Linked DNA regions of Callithrix jacchus. The protein of the gene in region 1 purifies or fractionates together with the protein of each later gene. This does not show direct contact. Links are inferred from orthologs where the notes say so. Each region holds a gene or a part of one and is shown in the gene's direction. Other genes may lie near its edges. The genes, in order: RRP1B and NCL.

Region 1 (15,759 bases):
GTCTGGTCTTGAACTCCTGACCTCAAGTGATCCGCTCGCCTCGGCCTCCCAAAGTGCTGGGATTACAGGTGTTAGCCACCACACCTGGACTGACTTATACCTTTTGCAAACGTAGATGAGCCATACTCAAACCTCCCTACATCTTTCTGAAACTCAGGAAGTGACAATGTTCTTTATCCTAAAAGCGAAGCTGCTGGGCTCTGAATTGGAGTCTCTTCATTTCCCCAAGGGTTATTCCCATAGTTTCCCCCACCATCTGAGGAAGCGCTATTTACCGAGGAGTCCATGAGCCAGGCACAGGGGCACACACCTTACAGAGCTTCTCTCATCTTAAACTTTGCTGTATCCTATGAGGTAAGCATTACCATCCCCATTTTTTAGACACTAACTAGCAGGCAGTACATAATGATCCCGAATCTCTATCGTCTCACTTCCCATTGTCAATCACGACACTTCACCACCAGACTTCACCACCAGAAAAATCAAACGTCCCTTCCATTCCATTCATACAGCCGCAGTCCCACACACTAATGAAGCCCAAGACGTTCCTTGACGAATGCTCTAAGTCGTCTTCTGCCAATCCCTCAGAGCCACCCTCCATTCACACAGAAAAACATGACCCTGAAAAAATCACTTTCGTCATCATTTTCATGGTTATTTCCGTGTGGTAATTCACAGCTGACTCACCTCAAATTAAAAACAATCTAGACTGTCTTCTATGAACTGCTCATTTACTGTCCCCAGTTCTGCTGTACCCCAGTCCTTATCCCACGCAGCCATCAGACACTAGCCAATGAACCTGCAATCAGTCCTGTTCAGTCCCATGTGTGACTGTCACACATGCCACCACCCTAGCCTACAACATCTCCCCTTCCCCTTATGGATCATGCCTCTCCCCAGTGCTCATCAACTCCCTAAGACTCACAGGCAACACCTTCGTCCGTATCCTTCCAAAGCACCGCTTACCTTGCCCAGTCCTCCCAAAGGGAGACGCTGTGCTCCAACTGGAATGAAGCCCCATTCACTACTTGATCTATGAGCTCAAGTCCTCTAGCTGGCTTACAAGTTACTTTATGCCTGAACCCATCTAAACAGAACTAAACCCAGACTCTGAAAACAAGCTTCTCAAATCAGGCCTATTCCTTCCGTGCCTCCATTCGTTTCTACCTTCAGGTTGCCTTCTGTCACTGCTTAAGATTGGAAGCACACAGTGACTCGCAGCTGTAATCCCAGCACTTTAGGAGGATGAGGCAGGCGGATCACAAGGTCAGGAGTTCAAGACCAGCCTGGCCAATGTGGTGAAACCCCATCTCTCCTAAAAATACAAAAATTAGCCAGGCATAGTGGTGGGTGCCAGGAGTCCCAGCTACTTGGGAGGCTGAGGCAGAAGAATCGCTTGAACCCAGGAGGCGAAGGCTGCAGTGAGCCAAGATCACACCACTCTAATCCAGCCGGGGTGGCACAGCAAGACTCCGTTTCAAAAAAAAGATGGAAAGCACATATTAACCTCCAGAAGAAGCAAACGGATGGATACCAGACCACAGGGATAATGGGAGAGAAGCATCAGTATGAGAAATGGCTCTTGCTGCCAGCTGACATACTGCACAATTGTGGGTTTCGTCTGTACAACTCCATTCTTAGTCATGTCCAACATGATCAGGGAGACAGGCTCCTAGGAGAGCTTGGGGAGGGCTATCAGATCTAGGCCTCATAAAAAGAAGAATGTTTATTTTTCTTCATGTTGCCCAAATTGAAGAACTCAAGAGCCAAAATTAGATAAAAGATGCCTTTCGAGGCCACAGTAACCCTCCTGAAACCAGCCCAGTCCACTCTGATCCTTCCTTTCTCTTAATACCACGTTTCCTGGAGCATGTGTGAGTTTCATGAGATAACACAGCAAACTAGAAAGGGCGTGCAGGCCAGGCACGGTGGCTCATGCCTATAATCCCGGCCCTTTCGGAGGCCCAGGCGGGAGGATCACCTGAAGTCAGGGGTTTGAGACTGGCCTGGCCAACATGGTGAAACCTAGTCTCCACTAAAAATAAAAAAATTAGCCAGGTGTGGTGGCACATGCCTGTAATCCCAGCTACTCTGGAGGCTGAGGCAGGAGAACTGCTTGAACACAGGAGGCAGAGGTTGCAGTGAATCGAGATCATGCCACTGCACTCCAGCCCAGGTGACAGAGCAAGACTTGGTCTGAAAAAAGAGAAAAAGAAGGAAGGACATGCAGAGACAGCAGGGTAGTCCCTCAAGATGAAACATGCAGCCAGGGAGAGAATGACAGGCAGCAAGGGCCCCGCACTCCCACCAACTGATACAGTAAAATGGAAATAAAACCATGTTGTCTGAAGAAGCACAGGGTACTATGATGACATCTAAAAGGAAGATGGGTCACATCTAGGTCATCAGATTGGGCAGTGACTCTGGGCTGAGGCTGTGCCCAATAATACAAAGCCTTTTAAGCCACATAGGGTTTTGGATGAGGGTGAGTTTGGGTGAGGTTTTTAGCTTTTTGTCCTTTATCCTAAAAGCAGAGAAGCTTCTGAGACTTACGCAGGTGAATGGCATCATCAGATTGAACTGCCAGGAACTACTCAGGCTACTACTGTGTCCAAGGGACTGGAGAGTGGCAGTGAAGAGGCTGCCAGGAAGAGGCAGAACACAGCATTGGAGAAGGACGCAGGCTGATGATTCAGGACGCACCCAGCAAGTCACACTCATCAGAGGCACCACCAGGCAGGTTTTGCGGGGAGCAGTGAGGAAGAGAGACAGATGACAAGGAAGCCTCCCGGGTCTCTAGTCTGGGAGGCGATGCTCTGGGGAGACTGAGGCAGGCCGGTGTAAGACAGGGGTAGGGGATGGATAGCATGAGGCAGATATGACAAGAGGAAGTAAAAATAAGCTTGCACCGAGAAAGCAAAAGACTGTCCTGACTTTTGTCAGGTTGGAGTAACACACACAGATGAAGTCGGGTGCCAAGTGAACAGAAAATGTGTCTCCCAAAGACAGTGCAACTGTAAAGTGTCACAACGATCTCTCCTTCAAGTGACTGCTAACTTTTATAAACTGAGAAGCCTTACTCTGAAATTCCGGACTGTCAGAAACTTTGTTGTCTGAAATTACACCAGGAAGAAGATTCCACTCTTGCCTGCAGGATCTAAGTCACTGTGACACAGAAGAGACTATTTCCAGCCACTGCAGAGCTTCAAGTAAGGATTGCTAGAACAATGTGCCACATCTATTTGAACTTTGTAGTTTTCAAGGGAACAGGACCTGGGTCCACTTCACAGTCAGACTTGATACTGGTCCCTCTAGACACAGCTCTGTTTTGCTTCATTTACGCCTCACCTAATTCCACTCGTCTCCAAGTCCAGTAACAGCTCTATCTTCTTCTGTGTTGAAATGCCCTAGTTTCTCTGGTGCTCTAGTGTGGTCTTCCCCACTGCAAAGAGCCATAAACCTCACTCTGTCAGACTGCGGGTCTGTTCCTGGTGACCTCAGACTAGTAATTAGGGTAGAGCAAGCATTCAGAATTTGAAATAATGGTGAAACAAGCAGGAAGAAATGCCAGGCAGGCGTCAGACACACGGCCTTGAGCTTGAGGAGACTGCTGGGCTAGAGAGTAAATCCAGCAGCCAGCCGCTGGCATCAAGACGGTAGCTGAAGCTGTGAGTGTGCATGAGGCTGCCTAGGGAGAAGCCACGGGGCGAGGCGAGAAGGGGCCTAGGGCTGAGCCTCAGGCACTATCTGAAGGCCGCTAAGCAGAGGATACATCAGCAAAGGAGAACAAGCAGGAATCGCCCGAGATCATGGAAAAAGGTGACTCTATAGCATTGGGGAGGCCGGGACTATAAGATCAGATCTCCCCAAGTCTGACTGTGGTCAAGTGACCACAGATTTGTTTGTGGCCCTCACTGGGTTTGGTTTTGGCAGGGAGAATGATCACTAAAGACACTCATGTTAATTAACTCACGAGGCCCCGATGTATTTTTCAGAATGCCAGTTTATTTATTTACAGTGAGAATATAACCAACCAGCAGGCTGCCATACACTGCTACTGGTGTATGTCTATTTACCTTCCTTTCCTGAAGATAAATGCACAAGGAATGACTCATCTCAAAAAGTCGATGGATGGGCATGAAATCAGAAATTACGAAGTCAATGACCTGACATTTTGGCAGCCAATGACATGGCACATATCTGGCAGGGTCCCAGTAGGAAAGACAAATCAACACAGATGTTGAGACTTCTCTGAGAGGACCACTTACAGAGGGGAGAACAGAGATAAAGGAACCACCAGGGGACAGTGAGGCACCCAGGGACTAGCAACAGCCCTAGAGCCAAAGAAGCAGGTGGGAGAAAACAGCATTACTGGAGTCCAGCAAGAGCTAGGACAGTGGAAGAGGGCTCTAGACAGGAGTCTCCGTTGTGGAGGGATGCAGCTACTGCCACCCCACCACGGCAAAGCAGGGAGGGAGCAGGAAGAAACACCCACCCAACCTCTCCACCCAGCAATACCTTCCATTGGTAACCCCCACTGGCACCCAGCAAGGTAACTGGGGGAACCCTGACTGCAGGGATTCACCTCCCAGAGCACACCACAAGGCAGAGAATGGATCTGAGGAAACCAAAGACAATGTAAACAGCGCGAGGCACTATCCCTTCCAACTGGATATGGCTGGCCTACTCACCAGATACATTTGCACAAGACAGAAACTCATGTTCTTGGGGTGAGCTACCTCCTTGTATGGACGAGTGCTAGGCCTGCCTGGGCCCTCCGGATGCACCTTTTCTAGGGGGCACACAGTGAGGGCTAACCACCAAATGTCACGCTGTGATTTGGCTGATTTGACATGATTCAGTCTCAGTCAGCCAAGGGCTGAGTCAATCTCCAGGAACTTCCGTAGTCTCCTATAACGGCGCGGCTCAAATCTCAAAAGGCTGAACGGACACCAGAAAGCCTAAACTTCAACCAATTCTAGAAAGTGACTCACCCATCCACCTAAAGGTAAGTGAACACACTTCCAGCTATCTCTACTGACAAGTTAACTCCATGCAAGGTTTCCATATGGCACGATCCTTAACTTACACGGTAAGTACTTAATTTCCTGAGCAGAGCTTTACAGAGTGTAAACTTCTTCTGCCAATGAAGAGAGAGAGAAAGAAGCTGATAATAGATGCTCAGAAAACTGGCAACGTTTCCTCTACCACCAACTTACATGCCCAAGTTACTATGTTGAGGAAACCTCCCTTTTCTTAGGTCATCGGACTCTCCCAAATGTCATCACAAGGACTATACGAGCGCCTTCAAATGTGTTTACAATTACTTACTTCCCTAAGGTAAATCTACCAGAACAAATTAGTCACCACCAATGACTGCTAAAAATGCAGACTCACTTTTTTCTACAATCTTCAATTTCTGGAAGCTTTCCAGCACCTCCCCATTTAGTATTCTGGGTAAGAAATCCCGTATTTGCATCACTTCAGTTGTCAGCCGTTCCAGGTCCTTCTTTCTGACTTTAACAAATTCCTCTTTGGTTCCCATGTGCTAAAAGAACAAGCAGATCTTATTACATTTCTCTTCATATGACAAAAAAAAAAAAAAAAACCAGCCCAAGTCAACTTGTTTCCTTTTCTTTCATGCCTCTTGTGTTCATAACTGCTTCAAATCCTTTTCACCTACTGCATGCTCTGCTCCATTTCTATGTATATATAAACGTTTTCAAAGCTGAGGCTTCAGCCTTCAGAAAGGGGGCAGATGTGAAAAACAGTAAGTGCACACAGGCCAGGCACGGTGGCTCACACTTGAAACCCCAGGACTTTGGGAGGCCAGGGGTTGGAGCAGCCTGAGCAACAGAGACCGTGTCTACACAAATACGGAAACATGGCCAGAGGCCGGGCGCGGCGGCCCACGCCTGTAATCCCAGCACTTCGGGAGGCCGAGGCGGGCGGATCACGAAGTCAGGAGATCGAGACCATCCTGGCAAACGTGGTAAAACCCCCTTCTCCACTAAAAATACAAAAATTATGCGGTGTGGTGGCGCGCTGTAGTCCAGCTACCGGGGAGGCTGAGGCAGGAGAGTCGCTTGAACCCGGGAGGCGGAGGCTGCGGGAGCCGAGGTCGCGACACTGCCCTCCAGCCTGGCGACAGAGCGAGACTCCGTCTGAAAAGGGAAATGTAAACCATTCTGTGCGGGGCAGACTCTCTCAGCCTGACGCCAAGTCCCGGAGCGGCCCTCCGCAGGGAAACCGGGCTTCCGCGGGGCAGCGAGCGCAGGGACCATCCATCCCACGCTCCCACGCCCGCGCTGGCGCCACTCAGGCCCCACCGCGCGCGGCCAAACAGACCCGGCCCCCGCGTGGCTTTGCAGGCGAAGTCGCCTCGCGCCCAGGCCTCCACCCCGTTCCGCCGCAGCCCACGCTGTCCGGGGCCCGGTCTCCAGGCCTCCCCAAGCACGGGACAGCGGGCCGACCGCGAGCGCAGCGGGCGAGGCTCCGCGGGTGCCAGTGGCCGGGGCCTCCTCCCCGACCCAACTGACCTCCTGAGCGCCGCTCGCTTCGTCCATGGCCGCCGCCCCCTGCGCTACGTTCCTTGCGTGAAGGCGGCGACCTCTGACCCCTCACGCCAGAAAGCGCGGGAACGCGTCCACGGGGGTCGGGAACGGAGAGCCACGAGGCTCAAACCTCGCAGAACCTGAGCGGCATTCTCCGCCTGGGGGGCGAGGAGCGGCCGTGATGAGGACGCGCTTTGGCTCTTCCGGCTGAGCCCGGATTTTAAACTTGTTATCTACGAAGCAGAAGGAAAGTCAGCCCCTGCTGTAAGCGTCATGTGAAAGAAATCGGGGCCGGGCGCGGCGGCTCACGCCTGTAATCCCAGCACTTTGGGAGGCCGAGGCGGGTGGATCACGAGGTCAAGAGATCGAGACCATCCAGGTCAACACGGTGAAACCCCGTCTCTACTAAAAATACAAAAATTAGCTGGGCACGGTGGCACGTGCCTGTAATCCCAGCTACTCGGGAGGCTGAGGCAGGAGAATGGCTTGAACCCAGGAGGCAGAGGTTGCGGTGAGCCGAGATCGCGCCATTGCACTCCAGCCTGGGTAACAAGAGCGAAACTCCGTCTCAAAAAAAAAAAAAAAAAAAGAAAAAAAATCGGAGGGGTCCTTTCTGCTTGGCGGGGAGTGCTGCCCTAAGGGGGACTGCGTTGAAACGGGCAATCTTGGCTGGAAACTCGCCTCCGCGGCCCGCCTTCCCTCGCTGGGATTCAGGCGCTTTCATATTAAGGGTTGAATTTGGCCACAGGCATCTCGGGAGGTCGCCCAGATAACTGAATGGGGTTAACGTACATAACCCCCCACACACTACGTTTGGAGTCATCTAGGCCATTAACGCCTGCCGAGTCCGCAAGCTATAGGATGGCCTCGGGTTATACATGAACCCAAAGCTGATTTCTTCCCTCCCAAGCAGCCCGCCCTGCCCAGCTCCCCCGGGAAGCGCGCGTGCTCTCCAGGCCTCGGGACGCCGGCGCGGGCGCCCCTGCACTGGCACCAGGGCTCCGGGGTAGGGGCGTGCCGAGCTGCCCGAGGCTCCGCTGGCGCTGGCGAAAGGAACGCTCTCCACCCGCTCAGCAGGCCCCAGTGCCGGCCTTTCCTTCCACTCTCGACTCCACCCGGGGGGACCCGGAGGCTCCACAATTAAAAACTTCGTAGGAGAGCTGCCGGCCCAACGGGGTGTGCTAAAGGGGACTAAAGATCCTGGACCGGGCCGGGCGCGGTGGCTCACGCCTGTAATCCCAGCACTTTGGGAGGCCGAGGCGGGTGGATCACGAGCTCAAGAGAGCGAGACCATCCTGGTCAACATGGTGAAACCCCGTCTCTACCAAAAATACAAAAAATTAGCTGGGCATGCCTGTAATCCCAGCTGCTCAGGAGGCTGAGGCAGGAGAATTGCCTGAACCCAGGAGGCGGAGGTTGCGGTGAGCCGAGATCGCGCCATTGCACTCCAGCCTGGGTAACAAGAGCCAAACTCCGTCTCAAAAAGAAAAAAAAAAGATCCTGGACCGTGGCCAGGCGCGGTGGCTGCAGCCTGTACTCCCAGCGCTCAGAGAGGCCGAGGCGGGAGGATCGCTTGAGGCTAGGAGTTTGAGAGCAGCCTGGGCAACACAACGAGACCCCGTCTCTATAAAAGATGATAATAATTAGCGGGGCGTGATGGCGCGCGCCTGTAGTCTCAGCTACTCCGGCGGTCGACGTGGGAGGATCGCTTGAGTCTGGGAGGTCGAGGCTGCAGTGAGCCGAGATCGCGCCACTGCACTCCAGCATGGGCGACATAGCAAGACCTTGTGTCAAACAAATAAAAATTCCTAGACCGTTTGCCAACATCCGTCCGTCTCCTCCCGGCCAAGTCCTAACCCTGGCTAACTTCGCCGTCTACAGCCTCAATTCTGGCAATCGAAAGGCAGCGACGGAGCCAAGCACACGCGGGACAGACCGCCACGACGGCCGCCAGGGCCAGGGCCGCGCTCACTCCCAGAACGCACCACGAGCGCCGGCGCCTTTGTGACGCCATCAGCCCGCGCGTCACCGCCGCCTACTGCGCAGTCGCGGCTCGTGCGGACGGCGACGGCTCAGCGGTGCACGGTTGGCGGCAGCGGCACTGTGGGTTGCGCGGCCGGGGATGCCCCAGCGGGCGCGATGGCCCCCGCCATGCAGCCGGCCGAGATCCAGTTTGCCCAGCGGCTGGCGTCCAGCGAGAAGGGCATCCGGGACCGGGCGGTGAAGAAGCTGCGCCAGTACATCAGCGTGAAGACGCAGAGGGAGACAGGTGGGCGCACGGCGGCGGTCAGCCGCGCCACATGGCGGGCCCGGGGCAGGGGCGGCGGCGCGGAACGCGGCTTCCATGCGTTGTCGTGACACCGAGAGTGTCCTCCGGTTTCCGCGCTGCCAGAACTGCTTCTTGCTGTCTAGTGCCTTTTTACAGTTGAGGAAACAGGTTGAGGGGGTTCTGTTACTTGCGAAAGTCACGGTGAGCGGGGAAGCTGAGAAAAGACCCACATGGGGCGGATTCCCTGACCCGCATCTCGCATCACTGGGCTGCCCTGATGCAGCTCAACGGCAGTGCTGTGTGATCTGGCCACTGCCTACATCTCCAGCTTCATCTCATAACACTCTCCCCCTCCCCAGCTTACCGGCATCTGGCATCACTGCGCTGCCCTGCTGTCCCGCCGGTGATTCCCGCCTTTCTTTGACCAGCACCTTTACGTGCGGGGGCTGCAGGCGAGAAGACAAAATCCCTTCTCTGGAGGATCTGTTGGTGATAAAGCAAGGAGACAATCAGGCAAATAAAGTAGACCTCGTGTAAGTGTAGTGAAGGGAATGAAAGCCAGGTAGTACGCCGGGCATGGCGGATCATACCTGTAATCCCAGCACTTTGGGAGGCCAAGGCGGGCGGATCACCTGAGGTCAGGGGTTCGAGACCAGCTTGGCCAACTTGGTGAAACCCTGTCTCTACCAAAAATACAAAAATTAGCCAGGCGCAGTGGCGCGGGCCTGTAGCCCCAGCTTCTCGGGAGGCTGGGGAGGTAGACTTGCTTAAACCCGAGAGGGCAAGGTTGCAGTGAGCCGAGATTGCACCATTGCTCTGCAGCCTGGACGATAGAGCAAGAATTTGTCTTCTAAAAACAAAAAGAAGAAGAAGAGAGAAGAAAGAAAGAAAAACAGGTAATAGAAAAAAAAGTGAAGGAGGTTGCTCTTCGTGAGAGGCTGTTCTGAGAAGGCCTCACTGGGTGATGTTCAGCTGGGATCTGAAGAGAGATGGGCGGAAACCACCTATGCCGTGACAGGAAGGAGTGAATGCCCTCCCCTAGGAGTGGTTGAAAGACCAGTAAGCTGGGGAGGGGGAAAGTGTTATGAGATGAAGCTGGAGATGTAGGCAGTGGCCAGATCACACAGCACTGCTGTTGAAGGATTTCACTTACCTGATCCAAAAATATTTTTTGTAAACTCTTGAGTGAGCCCATATGATATGAACCACAATGTGTGATAGAGGTTTTACGCTGCAGCAAGATTAAGTGTGATTTAGCTGCTGCTGGTATTAATACATTAGAATCTGCTTAGAAGAGCAGATAGTATCTCCCCACCACTGATATTCTCAGTTTGTTTTATTTTGAAGAGAAATCACCCGAGTACCCCAAAAAAGAAAATACGCTTTCCTGGGAACTCTGGTGGAAAAGGAAAGAAAACCAGAATTCCTGACTGATTCCATTAGGGTCTCCCTACGAGATTTTGTTTGCTGGCACAGTTCGGGGTACCCCATGTATGCTGGTGGTTTCTAAAGCTAAGTTGTTGACCCAGCCCTTTCCTGCTTGCAGCTCCAGTGAGCCTTGCTAGCCTGACGTCTCTACCTTGCACCTCACACTCAGAATGCCAAAAAACGGCCCGTTTTCTTCCCCCCAAAGCCTCTTTGCTGCTGCTCCTCTGCCACCTGTTTTCTCTTCTTTTAGCTGCTAGTTTCTACCAGCCACTCAGACTCCAGCCAGACACACAGGATTGTCCTGGACTCCTCTGTCTTCCTCATCCTCTTGCCCTGACCCACATCCAGTGCCCCTCAGCCCTACCTCCTTCACCTCCTGTTGAAATACATTCTCCGACCTTAGGCCCTTTGCATCTCCCCGGACTTCTGCACCTACATGTTCCCTAACTGGTTGCCTTAACTTCATTTGTGTCCCCCCCCCCCCCGAATCTCCTCCACAGACCAGCCCAGGGTCATCTTCCTAAAACAAATCTGATCCCACATCACCAATATTTTTGAAATCCAGTATCTGCAAGTCATGATCTGTCCTCAGGTGCTTTTCCTCCTAAGCCCCATGTGACTGCTTCGTGTTCCGTCAGCAGAAGCGTTCGTGGTTCCTGGCGTACAACACACAATTTCTCACCTCTCTGGCGTTGCTTCTCCTGTTCGCTCTGCAAAGGATCCCATGTCTTCCTCACCTTCAGTTCGGCATCACTTCCTCCAAAGAGCCTTCCTCGCCCTACTCCTCCAGGGCTCTAAAACATCTACTGTGTCTTTGTTGTAGTGCTTAGCTACATTGCTTCTTACTTATCTGTTAATGTGTCATTCTTCTCCAGAGACACTGTAAGTTTCCATCTGTTTTCTTAGCCAGAAGTGGGAGTACATGTAGCCATAAAACGTCCTGACCTGTGCAAGAGCAGAAGACCGAAAGCAATACGTATGGGGCTAAGACAGCCTAGGCAGAGAGCCTTTTGCTCAAACCCTTTGGTGAGCCAGCCCAGGACTTGCAAATGCTGGGGTTATGCAGGGGCCGAAGACCAGTTACACCAGTGCCCCAGAGTCCTGTCTGCTTAGTGCCTGTCACACCCAGGGTTACTCGTACATCTTGTCCACCACCACATTGCATGGAGGACAGTGGGCCTTCAAAAAATAACTCTGCACTGTGAGCATCATGGGCAGTGATAACGGACAGGAAAACAAGGTCTCCGCCATAGCGCTGCCCCACCACAGTCAAAACACAAATTTGGAAATAACTGGACCTGATATTTGACTCCCGTTGACAGGCTGAAACTTTTTTTGCATCTTGTCTTAGGCATTATAAAGGAAATCTGAGATTTCACTCTTCCTGAAACATGAGCAGTTCTGCAGCAACATAAATGGGTAGCTTTGTAATTTTAAAAATAAATTGGAAATGTTTGTATTGCTTTAAGTAACAGAATGTTGCGCTCATGCTCTAACCGTTCAAGTTGTGTACTGACAGTCGTAAAATGATCACTCTGCATGCCTTTCATTCGTAAAGCTCATCTGTCCCAATTCATTCATTCATTCACTCATATATTTAGCAAACATTTATAGAGTGCCAACTGTCTACTACTATGTACGCTATTCTTGGCACTGGGAATATGGCGGTGAGGAAAACAGACAGTCCCTGCCTATCTTACCTGTTCTGCAGCTCTAAACATAGGTACTGAAATGCGAGGCATTCTGAAGTCAACCTGGTAAGTTTCATCTGCATCACTGCTTTCTTTTTGGCGACATGTAACAGTACATCTTGGAGTCAGTGTAGATGATGCAGGAAATACGTTTTTAATAACAATGGGGTGAGGGTTCTCTCTACCCAAGCGTTATGATACATAGGAGATGTGGATGTTTTGGCACTGGGGTGTGTTCAAGTGTGACCCTTAACTGCATCTAAAATGGCTCCTGGGCTCATTGCATGCTGAGGTAGCTCTTGGATTTGCTCATTTCAGAACTTACTGATGTTTCACATATCTGCATATCTCACTTCAACGTTCACCTCGTTTGTTTTGTGTGTTTGTGTGTGTGTGTGTGAGTGTTGTATTTTTTTGACAGATGGATCTAACTCTGTCACCTGGGCTGGAGTGCAGTGGTGCTATCTCGGCTCACTGCAACCTCCACCTCCCAGGTTCAAGCGATTCTGCTGCCTCGGCTTCCCAAGTTGCTGGGACTATAGGCATGCACCACCACGCTCAGCTAATTTTTGTATTTTTTTAACTAGAGACTGGGTTTCACTGTATGTTGGCCAGGCTGGTCTTGAACTCTTGACCTAAGGTGATCCACCCACCTCAGCCTCCCAAAGTGCTGGGATTACAGGCGTGAGCCACTGTACCCGGCCTACCTCATTCGTTTTGAAATAACTAAACCTATATTGTGTTGTTGTAAAAACACAGTTGTATTAAGTTTAAGAGATTGAGCCTCAAGAAGACAGAAGGGCGGTGAGAGCAAACTGCTACGGACAATGTGCTTCGCCTTTCAGAGCTCAGAAGGTTATTCGCTAATAAACATTTCTCTCTTTTACTTTGAATACTTCAAAAACCGTTGGCTTGTTAAATTCCTAGGTGAACACACACACAGACATATATGGAAAATAGATGTTTTAATAGGGGACAGACTGTAACTAGACTCTGGGAAGAGAGTGCGACCATTATTACTGTAATAGGCCACCAACTGAATAGTGCTTTATTCTTAGTGTTTCCACACCTTGGGTCTGACCCTAACCATCAGTCTTTTACAGTATAGGCGATAGAACTGAGGCTCAAAAGTTAATGGACAGTTTTCGGCCACTGGGCCCTTGTCAGTAGGAAGCTGGGACCTACGCCAAGGTTTGTTTCAGTGCTGTTCTGTTGCCTCCTGGAAAAGAGAAAATCAGAATATCTTTTCTCATTGTGTTAGTCTGTTCTCATGCTGCTAATAAAGACATACCCGAAACTGGGTAATTTATAAAGGGAAGAGGTTTAATGGACTCACAGTTCCATGTGGCTGGGGAGGCCTCACAGTCATGGCAGAGGGCAAGACAGAAATAAAGCAGAGGCATCTCTTGCATGGTAGCAAGCAAGAGGGCATGTGCAGGAGAACTCGCCTTTATAAAACTGTTAGATCTTGGCTGGGTGCAGTGGCGCACACCTGTAATCCCAGCACTTTAGGAGGTTGAGGCGGGTGGATCACGAGGTCAAGAGGTCTAGACCATCCTGGCCAAGATGGTGAAACCTCATCTCTACTAAAAATATAAAAATTAGCTGAGCATGGTGGTACGAGCCTGTAGTCCCAGCTGCTCAGGAGGCTGAGGCAGGAGAATCACTTGAACCCAGGAGGTGGAGGTTGCAGTGAGCCGAGATTGCACCACTACACTCCAGCCTGGGTAACAGAGGGAGACTCCATCTCAAAAAAACACCTGTTAGATCTCATGAGACCCATTCACTGTCCGTAGGACAGCATGAGAAAAACCTGCCCCATGATTCAGATGGCTCCCACCGGTCCCTCCCAGTTTTGTGGGGATTATTACAATTCAAGGTGAGATCTGAGCGGGGACACAGCCAAACCGTGTTACTCACGCAGCTCACTTTGCTACCTCCTGTCCAGGATCTGTTGTCGCTCTGTCAGAATCTACTGTTTTCCATTTTGAACACCTCTGTAGGACATAATATTGTGCCTCTGTGTGTCCTGGGTGCGGGCTGTCCACAGTAGATCCCCAGCAGATCGCATCATCACTTTCCGTTGGCTTGACCCAGTGGTACACTTCCGAGACCATCTGGAGAGAAATACACTGTTTTTAAGTGAGGAAGACCAGAGTACAGAATAGTATGCCATTTAGGTCACACACACAACTGTAACTGTGATGTAAATAAACGCCCAGGAAAGATCTGGAAAGATGCACATCAGGCAGGCGGTGTCAGTCCCTCTGGGTAGGAGCCTGGGATTCGAGGGCAGGGAGCAAGCCAGGCTTGTGATGATAGCCCTTTGGTGGTAAGGTTCTTTGGGGTTAATGCGTGTTTTTATCAGTTAGGACTCTTTCAGCTGCAACTCGACAGAACATCCACGCCACCCTAGTTTTAAGGGGAAAGTGAAGCACAGCTTTGTGGAGGAGCTCAACTGCTGGTGCCAGAATCTTGTTTTTCTCAACTGCAACCCTGCTGCCCCAAGATCGTTCTCCATTCTGAGACAGGCTCCACTTACATTACCAGGTGGCTGGGAGCAGGTACAAACACTGTGTTCTCTTCAGGTGCAGTAGGAGAGAGCTAGAGACTCCTCAGGCCTGAGCAAGAGGATCTGTATCTGCAGAGGGTCGCTAGGCTCTTCTTGAACCTGTCCTGTGGCCGAGGGAATTCTGTTGAATTGGCTAAAGCTGCCTCCCCTCCATGTGGGGAAAGCCCCACCCAGACCACAGTGTCCCTCTGTGCCCTGCTTGAAGGTGGGGAGCCTTGGAGGGGAATCACCATGTAGCTGCCCACCAAGGACAGGGACAAGGACTGCCCTGCGCCTGACCCCACACAGTAACCTGTGTCCTTTAAATCCTCTTTTTGTTTTTAAGTTGATTAACGCTGCTACCTTCCAGTGACATCATTGTCTTAGTCTGTTGCATTGCTATAAAGGAATACCTGATGCTAAGAGGTTTATTTGGCTCGGGGCTCTGCAGGCTGTATGAACATGACTCCAGCATTTGCTTCCGGTGAGGACCTCAGGAAGCATCCAATCTTGGCCGGAGGGGGAGGACAGTTGTCATGTCACATAGCAAGAGAGGGAGTAATAGAGGAGGTGCCGGGCTCTTTAGCAGTCCGATCCCACGGGAACCAGGGCACTCACTTTGGTTATATAACATCCCAGGAGAATGGCACCAAGACATTCATGAGGGATCTGCCCCCGGGACCCCACACATCCCACTAGGCAGAGCTTTTTAAATAAAAAGGAGACAGCCAGGCGTCACTTTGGTAATCTCAGACGCTCCTTTTTTTCCTTCTTGTTATTAAGGAATATTTCAAATATATAAAAAGCACCCTCACTCTCTGCCTCTGCTTTCATCAGGACCTGGCCAGTTTGTCTCATCTGCCCGCTTCCTCCTTCCCCGTAGCTTCGTGTGCACCAAGTCCCAGACGTCTCATTACATTTCCAGGTGTCCGCAGTGTGTGTGTCTGTATCATGAGGATCCTTGTTTAACATAGGCACGGTGCCATCATTGCCCTTAGAAAATCCTTGATAGCAGAAACATCCGGCCTGTTTCGTTTTTCTCATCATCTCATAAATGCGTTTTACGGCCAGTCCAAATGAGGCCCACCCATTGCATTCGGCTAGTGTGTCTGCTAAGACTTAAATTCTGTTAGTTCTTACCCGTCTTTTTCTCCGTGCGGTTTCTTTGTTGGAGGACACAGGTCACATTTCTTGTAGTTTCACATGTTTGGGGTTTTATTGTCTACTTCCTGTTGTCTCACTTAACATGTTCCTCTGTTTCCTGTA
Region 2 (15,159 bases), on another chromosome or scaffold:
TAGTTGTGCTGTTTGGCCCTATGAGAAATGGATCTGAGGAAGGAGATGATGGCGTTTTACACTGAACAGTAATGGCAAAACGTGAATGGCCTGAAATGTCGAAGTGAAGATGTGATGATGTACTTGTTACCATTTTAGGCAGGTAAAAATCAAGGTGACCCCAAGAAAATGGCTCCTCCTCCAAAGGAGGTAGAAGAAGATAGTGAAGATGAGGAAATGTCAGAAGAAGAAGAGGAAGAAGAAGAAGAAGATGATAGCAGCGGAGAAGAGGTAATTTCATCCAACTCAATGCGGAATTAAGTTAAAACTACAAAATGGGGAGTTAGGACATGAAATTGGATGTCTATGATAAAAATAAGATTTTATTCATCTGCGTATCTCCTGTTGTAGTGATCGAGTGTTTCACAAGCTCTTCGTTCATGTCAAGATGTCATTTGGCTAAATATTTGAATGTGAGTTTGAGACAGATCTGGGGATCTCCTTTCCATGTGCCTCTGCAGGGCTTGGAGTGTGATTTGTTGTGCTGAATCGTTACATTTGTCCAGTTTCAACATGTTATCCTCACCCCCACATTTTAGACACAAGGGAAAGATCTGTTCTCTCAATGGCAGAGCTGGGCGTTGTATTCAGATCTGAGGATAACCTTACCAGATTCCTTTCCTAGGCTCCATTTAAGATTAATTGGTCTCTATTCCATTACACTACTCACTGTGTTACTGTTGTCTCTGGTGTAGACTGAGGGCTGCCACCGCCCTTTGTGTTAACGTTTACCCTCTAGCACTCCTGGCTATTTATTTGTTCGCTATGAAGACAAGTGAGGACTGAATTGTGCTCAGACTTCTCTTTGAGAATTGAATAAAAGTTACTTTTCCATACATTGCCTGATAAAACTAGTAATCAAAAAGCAGATTTCAGTGGGACTTTATTAATGTAGCTAAATGGTGGATTCATCGTTTTGTAAGGGATATTCAGCCTATTTGATCTTCATTTCATCTCGTATCTTAAGAATTGAGCTTCACCAAGCTTGGTACCAGCACCTACTGTAGGAGCCTCAGATGATTTAATAACAGTTAATGCTTGGAGCCTCCTATGTGTACGGTTGTGAATAATTTACACATAGCAATTCCTGTTCCTTAGACATGTAAGGATGATACTATTACCATTTTCAGGTGAGAAAGTTGGGATTTGGGAAAGTATGAGGTATGAGAATTCAGAGGTATTTTAAGTGTTCAGAAGGGTTCCTTATTCCTAGATATTCACCTGATAATATGGAGTTTAACATGGTAACGTGTGTCTAGGGCTTGTGGTCTTGAACCATAGGCATTGACAGAATCTAACACTAGTTGGGACCATGGTTGTCTTCTTACTGGTTTGGTTTTCATTTATTCTCAAGGTTGTCATACCTCAAAAGAAAGGCAAGAAGGCTGCTGCAACCCCAGCAAAGAAAGTGGTAGTTTCCCCAACAAAAAAGGTTGCAGTTGCCCCACCGGCCAAGAAAGCAGCTGTCACTCCAGGCAAAAAGGCAGCAGCAACACCTGCCAAGAAGACAGTTACACTGGCCAAAGCAGTCGCCACACCTGGCAAGAAGGGAGCCACACCAGGCAAAGCATTGGTAGCAACTCCTGGTAAGAAGGGTGCTGCCATCCCAGCCAAGGGGGCAAAGAATGGCAAGAATGCCAAGAAGGAAGACAGTGATGAAGAGGAGGATGACAGTGAGGAAGATGAGGATGATGACGATGATGAGGATGATGATGAATTTGAACCAGCAGTGGTGAAAGCAGCAGCTGCTGCCCCTGCCTCAGAGGATGAGGACGATGAGGATGATGAAGATGATGATGAGGAGGATGAGGATGATGAAGATGGTAAGGCGTTCTCTTGGTAGTTACTAGGCTTCTGTTTGCAAGTTATCTTGATTCTGGGAGCAATACTATGTATTCCTTCCACAACAACCTGGAGATCCTGGAGGTGAGATTGGAATCCTTGTGGGAATTCTCTGGGCTGTTGTGTGCCAGACTTAATTACCCATTAATGATTTTGTGCCTTGAGAAAATTTCAACAGCATAGTCTGATTGTTTTTCATAATACAGGATTTTGGTTCAAAGTGATTTTTTTTTTTTTTTTTTTTTTAAATTTTTTTGAGACTGAGTTTTTGCTCTGTTGCCATGGCTGGAGTGCAATGGCATGATCTTGGTTAACTGCAACCTCTGTCTCCTGGGTTCAAGCGATTCTCCTGCTTCAGTCTCCCAAGTAGCTGGGATTACAGGTGCCTGCCACCACACCTGACTAATTTTTGTATATTTAGTAGAGGTGGGGTTTGACCATATTGGCCAGGCTGGTCTCGAACCTTGACCTCAGGTGATGCACCCACTTTGGCCTCCCAAAGTGCTGGGATTACAGGTGTGAGCCACTGTGCCTGACCCTAAGTGGTCTACTCTTGCCATGACTATTAACTAACCATGGTGACAGGACTACACTTTATGTCCATTAGATTTTAAAACCGCTATTTATTTCTGGTGATTGCTGGAATTTTTTGACTAGGTGGCTTTTCTTTCAGACTCTGAAGAAGAAGCTATGGAGACTACGCCAGCCAAAGGAAAGAAAGCTGCAAAAGCTGTTCCTGTTTCTGTGAAAGCCAAGAACGTAGCTGAAGATGAAGATGAAGAGGATGATGAGGACGAGGATGATGATGAAGATGATGATGAGGATGAGGAGGAAGATGATGAGGACGAGGAGGAAGAAGAGGAAGAAGAAGGTAATTAAATTAGATTCTGACATACATTGACATGAGATGTTTAAAGGAGACACTTAAGTGTTTGTGGTTATTGATGGGTGATACATTGTTTGACATCTTGTCCAGAGCCTGTCAAAGAAGCATCTGGAAAACGAAAGAAGGAAATGACCAAACAGAAAGCAGCTCCTGAAGCCAAGAAACAGAAGGTGGAAGGTAACTTGCAGAATTGGGGGATGTGGGGGAGATAAACAGCACAAATGATGAATGACAAAGGGACTTAATACTGAAACTTGATGTTACCTTGCAGTGTGCTGATGTGCTGTGTATAGAAATTTTGCATTGGAAACTTTTTACCACACTTTACAAATAGACTGAGTTCAGCTTTTTTTGAATAGGCACAGAACCGACCACGGCTTTCAATCTCTTTGTTGGAAACCTAAACTTTAACAAATCTGCTCCTGAATTAAAAACTGGTATCAGTGATGTTTTTGCTAAAAATGATCTTGCTGTTGTGGATGTCAGAATTGGTATGACTAGGTAAGTGCTTCCCTGCATCTTACACATGGGTCTGTTAACGCCTTTCCCTCCCCTATTAGCACTTTAGCCTGGTGCTTTTAAACATGAATAATGTAAACATCTTCAAGGATTAGCATTAGTGAACTAAGTTAAAATCAAATTATAGAGCCCCTAAAGCGCAATTTTTTAATATAGGATAACTCTTAGTATAGGATGGAATAATCTTTAGTTTGTTTTTTTTTTTTTTTTTTTTTTTTTTTTGTGACAGAGTCTCATTCTCACCCAGGCTGGAGTGCAGTGGTGCAGTCTTGGCTCACTGCAACCTCCGCCTCCTGGGTTCAAGTGAGATTCTCCTGTCTCAGCCTCCCGAGTAGCTGGGACTTACAGGCATGTGCTACCATGCCCAGCTAATTTTTTGTATTTTTAGTAGAGACGAGGTTTCACCGTGTTAGCCAGGATGGTCTCGATCTCCTGACCTTGTGATCTGCCCACCTCAGCCTCCCAAACTGCTGGGATTACAAGCCTGAGCCACAGCACCCGGCCAGTAAGTTTTAATAATTTGGTGTTAGGAGCATTGCTTGAACCTGGGAGATGGAGGTTGCAGTGAGCCAGGATCATGCCACTGCACTCCAGCCTGGACAACAGAGCAAAACTCTGTCTCAATTTAAAATAATAATTTGATGTTTATTTTTTTGGAAGTACCTAAAACTGTTAGACTTGACTAGTCACAGTGAATGCTTTTATCCAGACAGGATTCTCCTGTATTAGTGCTTATAGGTGTTCTTTTCAGCTGCTGTGGTCAGTTGTTAGAAGCAATTTAGCTAGTAATGAGGACCTCAGAGGTGAATGTGCATGTCATATCTTCACACTAAGACCTTGTTCTGTAGCTACAATTTGCAGAGCCTTGACTTTATTTTGCTAATACCAGTGGTGCTTTTTAATGTGATCTTTGTTTGTACCATCACATTTGTCTGGAATACATATTGTGGATTTCGATTTGTGTTTTCACCTGTTGGAATTTTGCCCTCTTCTTCACCTCAAAGGAAATTTGGTTATGTGGATTTTGAATCTGCTGAAGACCTGGAAAAAGCCTTGGAACTTACTGGTTTGAAAGTCTTTGGCAATGAAATTAAACTAGAGAAACCAAAAGGAAAAGACAGTAAGAAAGGTATGTAGTGATTTAGGAGATGATGCAGCAAACCCAGGCGCTAGACTGCTAGGGAGAATGCTTTGGAACCCGTTTATTTATTTTTTTAAATTTTATTTTATTTATTTATTTTTGAGACGGAATTTTGCTCCCGTTACCCAGGCTGGAGTGCAGTGGCGCGATCTCTGCTCACTGCAACCTCTGCCTCCTGGGTTCAGGGAATTCTCCTGCCTCAGCCTCCTGAGTAGCTGGGATTACAGGCACGCGCCACCATGCCCAGCTAATTTTTTGTATTTTTAGTAGAGATGGGGTTTCACCATGTTGACCAGGATGGTCTCGATCTATTGACCTCGTGATCCACCCGCCTCGGCCTCCCAAAGTGCTGGGATTACAGGCGTGAGCCACCGCGCCCGGCTCCTTTTATTTTTAAAAAAATGTTTACCCTGCTTTCTTAATGCGGGATTTAATGAGTTAGTGTTTACAAGAGTACTCGGTGCTGCTTGCTAGTGTTACGGTGTAAATTCCTGAGTTAGGCAAATGAGCACTTTCATTGAGAATAAGATTAGATGCACCTAAATTAAAGGGTTCTGTCTTCACTGAAACTAGAGTAGGTCCCTAATTACGGTTTGAATCCTTTGCTTTTTTTCTCGATACAGTTGTAGTGTTTTAAATTGGTATATTCATTTTTTTGTTTGTTTCTAAAAATCATGCACATCTACTCTAGGTTGAACTCTAGTTTGAACAGATAGTTTGACATCAGCTGTGACAACATGGAGGGACCACTTGTGTGTTGCCACCGCGGTATCTCCATATTGAGCACAGAGCCTTGTATATCATGGGATCTCAAATTATTTGTTGAATAGAGCTATGTCTGTTTTTGCCCCACTTTTATTGTCGCTAAATGTTCAGGGTTTTTTTAGGCCATACAGCTAATTTTTATTTTTTAATCTAGAACGAGATGCGAGAACACTTTTGGCTAAAAATCTCCCTTACAAAGTCACTCAGGATGAATTAAAAGAAGTGTTTGAAGATGCTGCGGAGATCAGATTAGTCAGCAAGGATGGGAAAAGTAAAGGGTATGTTCTGTCTATTGAAATGTTGGGGTTTTTAAGGTTTTTACAACATTAACGCACTTTCCTGCATTAACAAAAGAAATGTTGGTTTGATTTTCTTAGGTGTAATCGTGGGCCATTTAATCTGTAAACCTGTGCCTCAATTACCCATCTGTACTGTGGGGATAACGTACTCATAGGGTGATTTTAAAAGACAAGCTAATACATATAAAGGAGCAAGAAATGTGCCTAGCTTATAATAAATAAGTTTTGTAAGTAGTAGCAGTGCTTTCAGTGAGGTGAAGTGACTGAAGAAAATTGAGTTTTTGTAAAACTTTTTAGTGGGAAAGCGGAAGCTCAAGTTTTGATTGAAAATTAGAAGGGAAGTTTGGCATTTTGATTGGCATAAAACTAAGGGCATTTATTGTACTCAGATCTGAAGCAAGTTCTGTGTTGCTGAGGTAAAAGCATTTGTGTTAATATGGTTTTTAAAATCACTAGTTCTTCTCCCTCCATTGCAGGATTGCTTATATTGAATTTAAGACAGAAGCTGATGCAGAGAAAACCTTTGAAGAAAAGCAGGGAACAGAGATTGATGGGCGATCTATTTCCCTGTATTATACTGGAGAGAAAGGTCAAAATCAAGACTATAGAGGTGGAAAGAATAGCACTTGGAGTGGTAAGAAATTAGGCTTGTTACAGGGTTGCAGAATTGGAGAGAAATCCTTTGTCTTTGTACTTCCTAAGTACTTTTTAATCAAAGTTACTTAAACGTAAGTGAAGATCAGGACATTATACTTCTAGTCATACTCTTAATTGGAGTAGTAATTTCTAGTCCTGAATGAGAGCTCTGAAATCATTTTGCATTGGAACACAGTAGGCAAATCAAGCTTCCTTTGTAGGTATGTTTTGTACTTTAAATGACTTCAACCATGTGTGTTTTGAACTTAGATTATTGTTCTAGGAAAACAGACCAGTAGTCAGCCTATACATAAAGAACAACCTGCAGGACATTGCAGCATATATACTAGGTACTCAGTATGTTGAGTAACAGAAGTGGATTTTACTTACATCAGTATTTGTGTAATAACTCTTTCAAGCACTGAAATTCTTAGGAATAAGATAGTACTGCTGTGAGCAAAGTTGGGAACCTGTGTGTCAAAGTTTTAAGATTGTGGCATCTCTGTCTGCAGGTGAATCAAAAACACTGGTTTTAAGCAACCTCTCCTACAGTGCAACAGAAGAAACTCTTCAGGAAGTATTTGAAAAAGCAACTTTTATCAAAGTACCCCAGAACCAAAATGGCAAATCTAAAGGGTAAGATAATACCTTTATGTCATCAGTTATGGTCTGTGTGTGTCTTATAGGTCTAAAGGAAGGTAAGGTCATGTGTGATCCTGTCAGAAAAGCCAAATCATTTTAGTTATGTAAATGAGTGTAAATAGCATCATTTAGGTATGGACTTGAGGGAAGGGGCTTGGCAGCATCATGTGACAGAGGACCATGTGCCTGGCAGCTTAGTCTAAGCATTAACTGTTCATCCTCAGGTATGCATTTATAGAGTTTGCTTCATTTGAAGATGCTAAAGAAGCTTTAAATTCCTGTAATAAAAGGGAAATTGAGGGCAGAGCCATCAGGCTGGAGTTGCAAGGACCCAGGGGATCGCCTAATGCCAGAAGCCGTAAGTTAACCTGGATAGGATGCTGTGGTTGGGGGTGGCACTCCAGTGCTTTCAGTGCTTATTTTTTGCACAACTTCTGTGTTTTCTGTTGCTGCTGAGTGAAGAATAACTGGATATGATGACTGATTACCTGAGAAATAATTGATGAAATCTCAAGAAAATTCCTCTAGATAGTCAAGTTCTGATCCAGCTGTCAACTCAGAGCAGCAAGCTTGCCTGTGATTTCCTGCCCCTCCAGTGGGCAGCACTTGCTTGGGTTGCTTCTCACACTTTCCATATTAGTTCTGGGGCAGGAGATCAACTATGCAGGGGCAATTTAGAAATGGAAACTCACAACAGCCTTATTTGAATTAAAACTAGTTGGCTTAGTTGCTTTTAACTGCTTTTCCACTAAGACAAGCATTCTTGGCCAATAGTCATACTAGGCATCGTGCAGATTTCATTGTTATTATGTCTAAACTGTGACTTCACATAGTCACAATTTTTTTCCTTCCCCAGAGCCATCCAAAACACTGTTTGTCAAAGGCCTGTCTGAGGATACCACTGAAGAGACATTAAAGGAGTCATTTGACGGCTCTGTTCGGGCAAGGATAGTCACTGACCGGGAAACTGGGTCCTCCAAAGGGTAAGGACAAGAAGCATGGGTGCTGCCTCCACTTGAAGGGGTTTTTGTTGTGGAGACCCCGACTCTAATGTGTCTTCTCATTGAGCTCCTTTCTGTCTATCGATGGCAGTTTATGGATTCGCACGAGAAGAAGAAGAGAATTCACAGAACTGTCATTATTTTACCTTCTGTCTTTACAGAGGTATATTTGGCTGTTTTGTGAGACATTCTGGGGTTCAAGCTGTCATACCAGTTAGTTTTCCATAGAGAACTATTCTGTCACTGGTTCTCTTCCCAACCAAACAAGACTACTTGCCTGAACTTACCTGGGACATGTGCAGCAGGTGCTTTTTATAATGGGCAATTTCATTTGGTGTTCTAGGTTTGGGTTTGTAGACTTCAACAGTGAGGAGGATGCCAAAGCTGCCAAGGAGGCCATGGAAGATGGTGAAATTGATGGAAATAAAGTTACCTTGGACTGGGCCAAACCTAAGGGTGAAGGTGGCTTTGGGGGTCGTGGTGGAGGCAGAGGTGGCTTTGGAGGCCGAGGTGGTGGCAGAGGAGGCCGAGGAGGATTTGGTGGCAGAGGCCGGGGAGGCTTTGGAGGTAAGGTATACAGGGATGACTTCTTCAGTATGTACTGGATGCCACACAGCATATATGCTTCAGACCCTGTACCCTGTCAGGATTCCTAATCACTGGGGAGGAGGAGCTTTGTATACATACTTTAACAGCGTCTTGCTTTCCCCCTGTAGGGCGAGGTGGCTTCCGAGGAGGCAGAGGAGGAGGAGGTGACCACAAGCCACAAGGAAAGAAGACGAAGTTTGAATAGCTTCTGTTCCTATGCTTTCCCTTTTCCATTTGAAAGAAAGGACTCTGGGGTTTTTACTGTTACCTGATCAATGACAGAGCCTTCTGAGGACATTCCAAGACAGTATACAGTCCTGTGGTCTCCTTGGAAATCGTATAGATAACATTTCAAGGGCAATACCTTGTTGGTTTTGACTGGATATTCGTATAAACTTTTTAAAGAGTTGAGTGATAGAGCTAACCCTTATCTGTAAGTTTTGAATTTATATTGTTTCATCCCATGTACAAAACCATTTTTTCCTACAAATAGTTTGGGTTTTGTTGTTGTGGTTTTTTTGTTTTTTGTTTTTTTGCGTTCTGGGGGTTGTAAAAAGAAAGCAAAATGTTTTATCATGGTTTTTGCTTCAGCAGCTTTAGGACAAATTAAAAGTCAACTCTGGTGCCAGACGTGTTACTTCCTAAAGAGTGTTGCCCCTGGATTGTCACTGGAGAGCATGGCATAGCCAGCTCTGCCACCTGCTTCATCCTTACCAATGGAAATGCTCAGTGTGTGCATTTCCAGTGTCCCAGCCCACAACTTGGCTGAAAAGCTGGTGAGGGCACCCACTCCTACAGCCCTGGTGCTGGCTTGAAGGTGGCTGCAGCTTCTCCCACTTGTAGCAAGCCTGAGGATTATGTCCAGAAGAAGACTCTGGAAAGTATGGGAACACAGGTTTCCTAGGACAAGTAGTTAAGAGCATCAGGGTCAGGCACTGCCTCACGCCTGCAATCCCAGTACTTGGGGAGGTGAGGGCAGGCAGATGACTTGAGGTTAGGAGTTTAAGACCAGCCTGGCCAACATAGTAAAACCCTGTCTCTACTAAAGATATAAAATTAGCTCCGTGTGGTGGTATGCGCTTGTAGTCACTGCTACTCAGGAGGCTGAAGCAGGAGAGTCAGGTCAAACCCGGGAAACAGGTTACAGTGAGCTGAGCGTGCATCACTACAGGGCATGCCCACAAGCTGGGCAACGGCGAGACTACAAAGAAGCACTTCTGGAATAGAACTCATGCTAGATGGATAGACCAAAGGACATTGGGACTGTGGGGCTGAGGAGGAAACTGCCAATCCAGTAAAGCCCAAAAAAGCCATTCATTCTGCACTACATATATTGCTTATTTTCTGGTCATAAGTAATTGGCTTATAAGCAAGGTCTAAGTCAAAGGACTATCAACATTGTGATGAATTTAACTGAAACCCAGTGCCTAAAATCAACGTAGGTAGCCAAGTCCAAAAGCCTGTTCTGGTCAGGCCAGTGAAATCAGTTAACTGTTAAGTTTAGAAGGCAACCTGAAGACGACAGCTGCTTTGGGTTTACTCTGGTTGAGTTGGGTATTGAAATCTTAAGGATCCCTGTGCTTATCACCTGCTTGTCAGCCCTGTTCAGTGTCCAGGGGATGAGGGTGGTGACAATCCAGTTACAAGACCCTCATGCTCTAGAGAAGAAGGTGGCCAGCAAGGGTAGTAGCTATGAGAAAAAAGCAGTGGGAGGATCTCGTATGAGGCAAACGTAAAGAAAAAAAGGAAGCCCTTTAGCCAAAGAATCGAAGGCTTTCAGTTATTTGAAGCCCATTGGCTGTCATGGATTCAGTCTGTTAGCTCTGAAATTGCAGCAAGGCAGGTAGTATGAACAAGTATGAAGTTATCTCCAATGGCTGACCCAAGTTGCTTTCAAGAAAGATGTGTGAGGGATCAGGCACAGTGGCTCATACCTGCAATCCCAGCACTTTGGGAGGCTGAGGCAGGAAGCTCAAAACCCAGGAGGTGGAGGTTGCGGTAGGCCAAGATCTCGCCATTACACTCCAGCCTGGGCAAGAGTGGAACTGTCAAAATATCTTGTGAGGCTGTGTGCAGTGGGTCATACCTGTAATCCCTGGGAAGCCTGGGTGGGGAGAGGGTTTGAGACCAGCCTAGGTAAGAGTGAGACTCCCATCTCTACAATAAAAATTAGCTGGCCATGATGGCATAAGCCTGTAGTCCTCAGGAAGCTGAGGTGGGAGGATTGCTTGAGCCCAGGAGTTGGAGGCTGCAGTGAGCTGTGATCACAACACTGCACTCCAACCTGGGTAACAGAAAATGAAAAACCTTGTGACCTTGGTGTCTAGGTCCTCTGGAATCTATCAAATGATGCCTCCAGGACTCTCCTTGGTCCCCTGCAGCCTTCAGTCAGGTGACAATATTTCATAGATGATTTCTTTTTGCAATTTTTGGGAGGCCCATCAGTTAAAGTAAGCAATAATCTACAGGCTGGCTATCTAGGAACAGGAGCCAGGATTGCTGGTGGCTCTGGTGCAGCACAGCCATTGCTTTTTTGGTACTTGCAGAGCCTATGGGAGTGAGATGTTGGTAGGTTCCCTTGCTGTGTGCAAGGGAGGGCTTGAGTTGAAGGAGGAGTTCATGGCTCCCAAGGTGGGGCTTGCATTTCTATCAAGTTGCTGTTTGGTAAAGAGGCACTTGCTGTTACTATGCTCAGCAGCGGGGCTTTTTTCTCAGCCACTCTACTAACTTGCTGTGAGGCAAGGCAAGGGCAGGACACTAAGGTTCCTATCTCTTGATTCTTTTTTTTTTTTTTTCCATTCCTTAAGGAAAGTAGAGATGGTCCAGTCCTATGATTTCTCACTGCTTGTTCTAATCACGTGCCAATTTCCTATAGAATGAAGATGAGGGCTGGGAACAGTGGCTGATGCCTGTAATCCCAGCACTTTGGGAGGCCAAGGTGGGTGGATCACCTGAGGTCAGGAGTTCGAGACCAGCCTGGCCAACATGGCGAAACTCCGTCCCCACTAAAAATACAAAAATTACCTGGGCGTGGTGTTACATGCCTGTAATCCCAGCTATTCAGGAGGCTGAGGCAGGAGAATCGCTTGAACCCAGGAGGCGAAGGTTGTGGTGAGCCAAGATTGTACCATTGCACTCCAGCCTGGGCAACAAGAATGAAACTTAAGCTAAAAAAAAAAATGAAGATGAGGATGGAAGGTGGTTACCCTGCAGGGCCAGAAAGACACCAGGGCTTGCGATTAGGGACTGAAGTCACAGTCCTCCCTGCTGACTGTCTCTAGTTTCTGATTTGATGGGGTTTGCAGCCATTTTAGAAAAGTGATTGTTCTCTTCTGCAAATGGTTGTCGCCACGTTTATCATACTTCCAGCAGGTGGCAGCATAAGCCCGCAAGAATCTGGAAACTGCTGCTGGAGGGAGCCCGGATAATGACGTGGCTGCAGGCCTGTGCGTCTCTAACTCCAAACTCACCCTCAGATTTGGGACTAGTGGGTAGGCCCAGGGTGTCTCCCACCTTGAATAATGCTGCATAACCCCTACAAAAGGGGTTTCTTTTTTCTTTTTCTTTTTCTTTTTTGACACAAGAGTCTTGCTCTGTCACCCAGGCTGGAGTGCAGTGGGGCAATCTCTGACCACCACAACCTCCACATCCCAGGTTCAAATGATTCTCCGGCCTCAGCCTCCCAAGCAGGTGCAATTACAGGCACGTGCCACCATGCCCAGCTAATTTTTTTTTGTATTTTTAATAGAGACAGGGTTTCACCATGTTAGGATGGTCTCGATCTCCTGACCTGGTGATCTGCCCACCTTGGCCTCCCAAAGTGCTGGGATTACAGGTGTGAGCCACCGCACCCGGCCAAAAGAGGTTTCTAAGAGGATCCTACAGCTGAGACGTTTGGGAAGCATGTCCTGTGCTTTTTCTCTGAGAGTTACCCAGTTCTCTTTGTATGTCTGTCTCCCCTCAACCTAATACCAAAGCTTTTCTCATCCCAAAATACTGTCCCCTGACCATGCTGCCTCGCAGAGTTGTCCCCTCTTCCCTTCATTGCCAAACTTTCAGGATGACCTCACTCCAGCCTCCTTGAAGTGTGGCTTCTGTCCCCTACACCCATCATGTTCATTAAGATGCCAAAGCCAGTGTCTTCCCTCAGTTCACCTACTTCCCTGTAGCATCTGACAAATGATCCCTCCTTCCTGCCAAAACTCCTCCTCCACCTTTAAGAATGTAGGCAGTAGGGCCAGGCACGGTGGCTCATACCTGTAATCCCAGCACTTTGGGAGGCTGAGGCAGGTGGATCACTTGAGGTCAGGAGTTTGAGACCAGCCTGGCCAACATGATAAAACCCCATCTCTACTGAAAATACAAAAATTAGCCGGCACGGTGGCCTGCGTCTGTAATCCCAGCTACTCAGGAGGCTGAGGCAGGAGAATTGCTTGAACCCGGGAGGCAGAGGTTGCAGTGAGCTGAGATCGTGCCACTGCACTCCAGCCTGGGAAACTGAGCAAGACTCCATCTCAAAAAAAAAAAATTAGCTGGGTGTAGTGGCAGGCACCTATATAATCCCAGCTACTCAGGAGGCTGAGGCAGGAAAATCACTTGAACCCAGGAGGCGGAGGTTCCAGTGAGACAAGATTGTGCCACTGCACTCCAGCCTGGGCAACAGAGCAAGACTCTGTCTTAAAAAAATAAATAAAATAAAATTTAGGCAGTGGCCCAGCACTGTGGGAGGCTGAGGCAGGAAGACAGCATGAGCTCTCAGGAGTTAGACACCAGCCTGAGCAACACAGCGGGACACCTGTCTCTACAAAAACAACACAACAGCAAAGAACTTAGACACACTAAGAGTGACTGAGGAGGAGAGGAAGGAAAATAACAAATCCCCAAGGATTGTAGCCATTCAAAAGCCCAATTCCATCCAATTCATAGATGGGAGCCCATGGCTGTCCCCAACCTCCTGGGAGTAAGAGGCCAGGAGGGTTACCCTATCTCTGATCCCTGTACAGGGAAACATGAAAAGACATGCATGTTCCCTCAGACAGCAGGGACTTGGTTTTGTTCACCGTGCCCAGGCTGGAGTGCAGTGGCGCAGTCTCAGCTCACTGCAACCTCCGCCTCCCAAGTTCAAGTGATGTTTCTGCCTCAGACTCCCTAGTAGCTGGGACTAGAGGCATGTGCCACCATGCCTGGCTAACTTTTATATATATATATATATATAATTTTTTTTTTTTTTTTTTTTTTTTGGAGACAGAGTTTCGCTCTTGTTACCCAGGCTGGAGTGCAATGGCGGGATCTCAGCTCACTGCAACCTCCGCCTCCTGGGTTCAGGCAATTCTCCTGCCTCAGCCTCCTGAGTAGCTGGGATTACAGGCACGCGCCACCATGCCCAGCTAATTTTTTGTATTTTTAGTAGAGACGGGGTTTCACCATGTTGACCAGGATGGTCTCGATCTATTGACCTCGTGATCCACCCGCCTCAGCCTCCCAAAGTGCCGGGATTACATGGTTTTTTTTTTTTTTTTTTTTTTTTTTTGAGACAAAGTCTCGAACTGATGCCCAGGCTGGAGTGCAATGGTACGATCTTGACTCATTGCAACCTCCACCTCCCAGGTTCACGCGATTCTCCTGCCTCAGCCTCCCAAGTAGCTGGGATTACAGGCGCACACCACCACACCCGGATAATTTTTTGTATCTGTAGTTGAGACAGGGTTTCACTACGTTGACCAGACTGGTCTCTAACTCCTGACCTCATGATCTGCCCACCTCAGCCTCCCAAAGTGTTGGGATTATAGGTGTGAGCCACCACACCCAGTGGAATAAGATAGAGTTTTAAAGTTCATTGTCTGTTTCCAGTTTAAGCCTGTAAAAAAGAAAGAAGTAGGAAAAGGAAATAATAAAAATAATAAATATTAATGATGTAGAAATATCAAGACAAAAATTGGTTCACTGAAAACATAAATAAAATTGATAGCCCCCTAGCAAAACTGATAAGAAAAAAAGAGAGAACACAAATAGCCGTTATCAGGAGTGAAAGAAGGGATATCACCACATTATGGATTGCACAGTTTTTGTTTTTGTTTTGTTGCTGTTGTTTTTAAGAGACAGGGTCTTGCTCTGTTGCCCATTGCCCAGGCCGGAGTGCAGTGGCACGACTGTAGCTCTCTGCAGCTTGGAGCTCAGGACTCAACTGATCCTCTTGCCTTAGCCTCTCAAGTGCCTAAAACCATAGGTGCCTGCCACCATGCCAGACTAATTAAAAAAATTTTTTGGCTGGGCGTGGTGGCTCACTCCTGTAATCCCAGCACTTTGGGAGGCTGAGGTGGGCTGATCACCTGAAGTCAGGAGTTCGAGATCAGCCTAGCTAAAATGGAGAAACCCCGTCTCTACTGAAAATACAAAATTAGCTGGGTGTGGTGGCGCATGACTGTAATCCCAGCTACTCGGGAGGCTGAGGCAGGAGAATTACCTGAACGCAGGAGGTGGAGGTTGCAGTGAGGTGAGATGGCACCACTGAATTCTAGCCTGGGTAACAGAGTAAGACTCTGTCTCAAAAATAAGAAAAAAAAGGCTGGGCACAGTGGCTCACGCCTGTAATCCCAGCACTTTGGCAGGCTGAGGCAGGCTGATCACGACGTCAAGAGATTGAGATCATCCTGGCCAACATGGTGATACCCTGTCTCTACTAAAAAATACAAAAATTAGCTGGGCATGGTGGCACATGCCTATAGTCCAGCTACTTGAGAGGCTGAGGCAGGAGCATTGCTTGAACCCAGGAGGTGGAGGTTGCAGTGAGCCGATCTTATG

The links.
Region 2: the proteins of RRP1B (region 1) and NCL purify together in Homo sapiens (affinity purification with mass spectrometry; 3 studies listed by BioGRID and IntAct, with this or other methods). This does not show direct contact. The link is inferred for Callithrix jacchus from reciprocal best matches to the Homo sapiens genes RRP1B and NCL.

The regions. Positions count from the first base shown.
Region 1 is NC_133522.1:49,323,054-49,338,812, forward strand, and holds the start of RRP1B (ribosomal RNA processing protein 1 homolog B), read left to right. Parts: upstream 1-8,596; 5' UTR 8,597-8,693; coding exon 8,694-8,823; intron 8,824-9,182; exon of another isoform or gene 9,183-9,187; coding exon of another isoform or gene 9,188-9,306; exon of another isoform or gene 9,307-9,356; intron 9,357-9,413; exon of another isoform or gene 9,414-9,804; intron 9,805-10,933; coding exon of another isoform or gene 10,934-10,977; exon of another isoform or gene 10,978-11,059; intron 11,060-15,759. Other genes in the region: HSF2BP (heat shock factor 2-binding protein), read right to left, coding at 5,398-5,548, 6,540-6,566. UniProt on the Homo sapiens protein: Positively regulates DNA damage-induced apoptosis by acting as a transcriptional coactivator of proapoptotic target genes of the transcriptional activator E2F1.
Region 2 is NC_133507.1:152,888,457-152,903,615, reverse strand, and holds the end of NCL (nucleolin), read left to right. Parts: intron 1-138; coding exon 139-270; intron 271-1,393; coding exon 1,394-1,862; intron 1,863-2,554; coding exon 2,555-2,752; intron 2,753-2,857; coding exon 2,858-2,944; intron 2,945-2,981; exon of another isoform or gene 2,982-3,051; intron 3,052-3,126; coding exon 3,127-3,268; intron 3,269-4,290; coding exon 4,291-4,415; intron 4,416-5,346; coding exon 5,347-5,470; intron 5,471-5,967; coding exon 5,968-6,125; intron 6,126-6,639; coding exon 6,640-6,763; intron 6,764-6,993; coding exon 6,994-7,127; intron 7,128-7,237; exon of another isoform or gene 7,238-7,317; intron 7,318-7,625; coding exon 7,626-7,752; intron 7,753-7,823; exon of another isoform or gene 7,824-7,961; intron 7,962-8,113; coding exon 8,114-8,337; intron 8,338-8,486; coding exon 8,487-8,563; 3' UTR 8,564-8,986; downstream 8,987-15,159. UniProt on the Homo sapiens protein: Nucleolin is the major nucleolar protein of growing eukaryotic cells. It is found associated with intranucleolar chromatin and pre-ribosomal particles. It induces chromatin decondensation by binding to histone H1.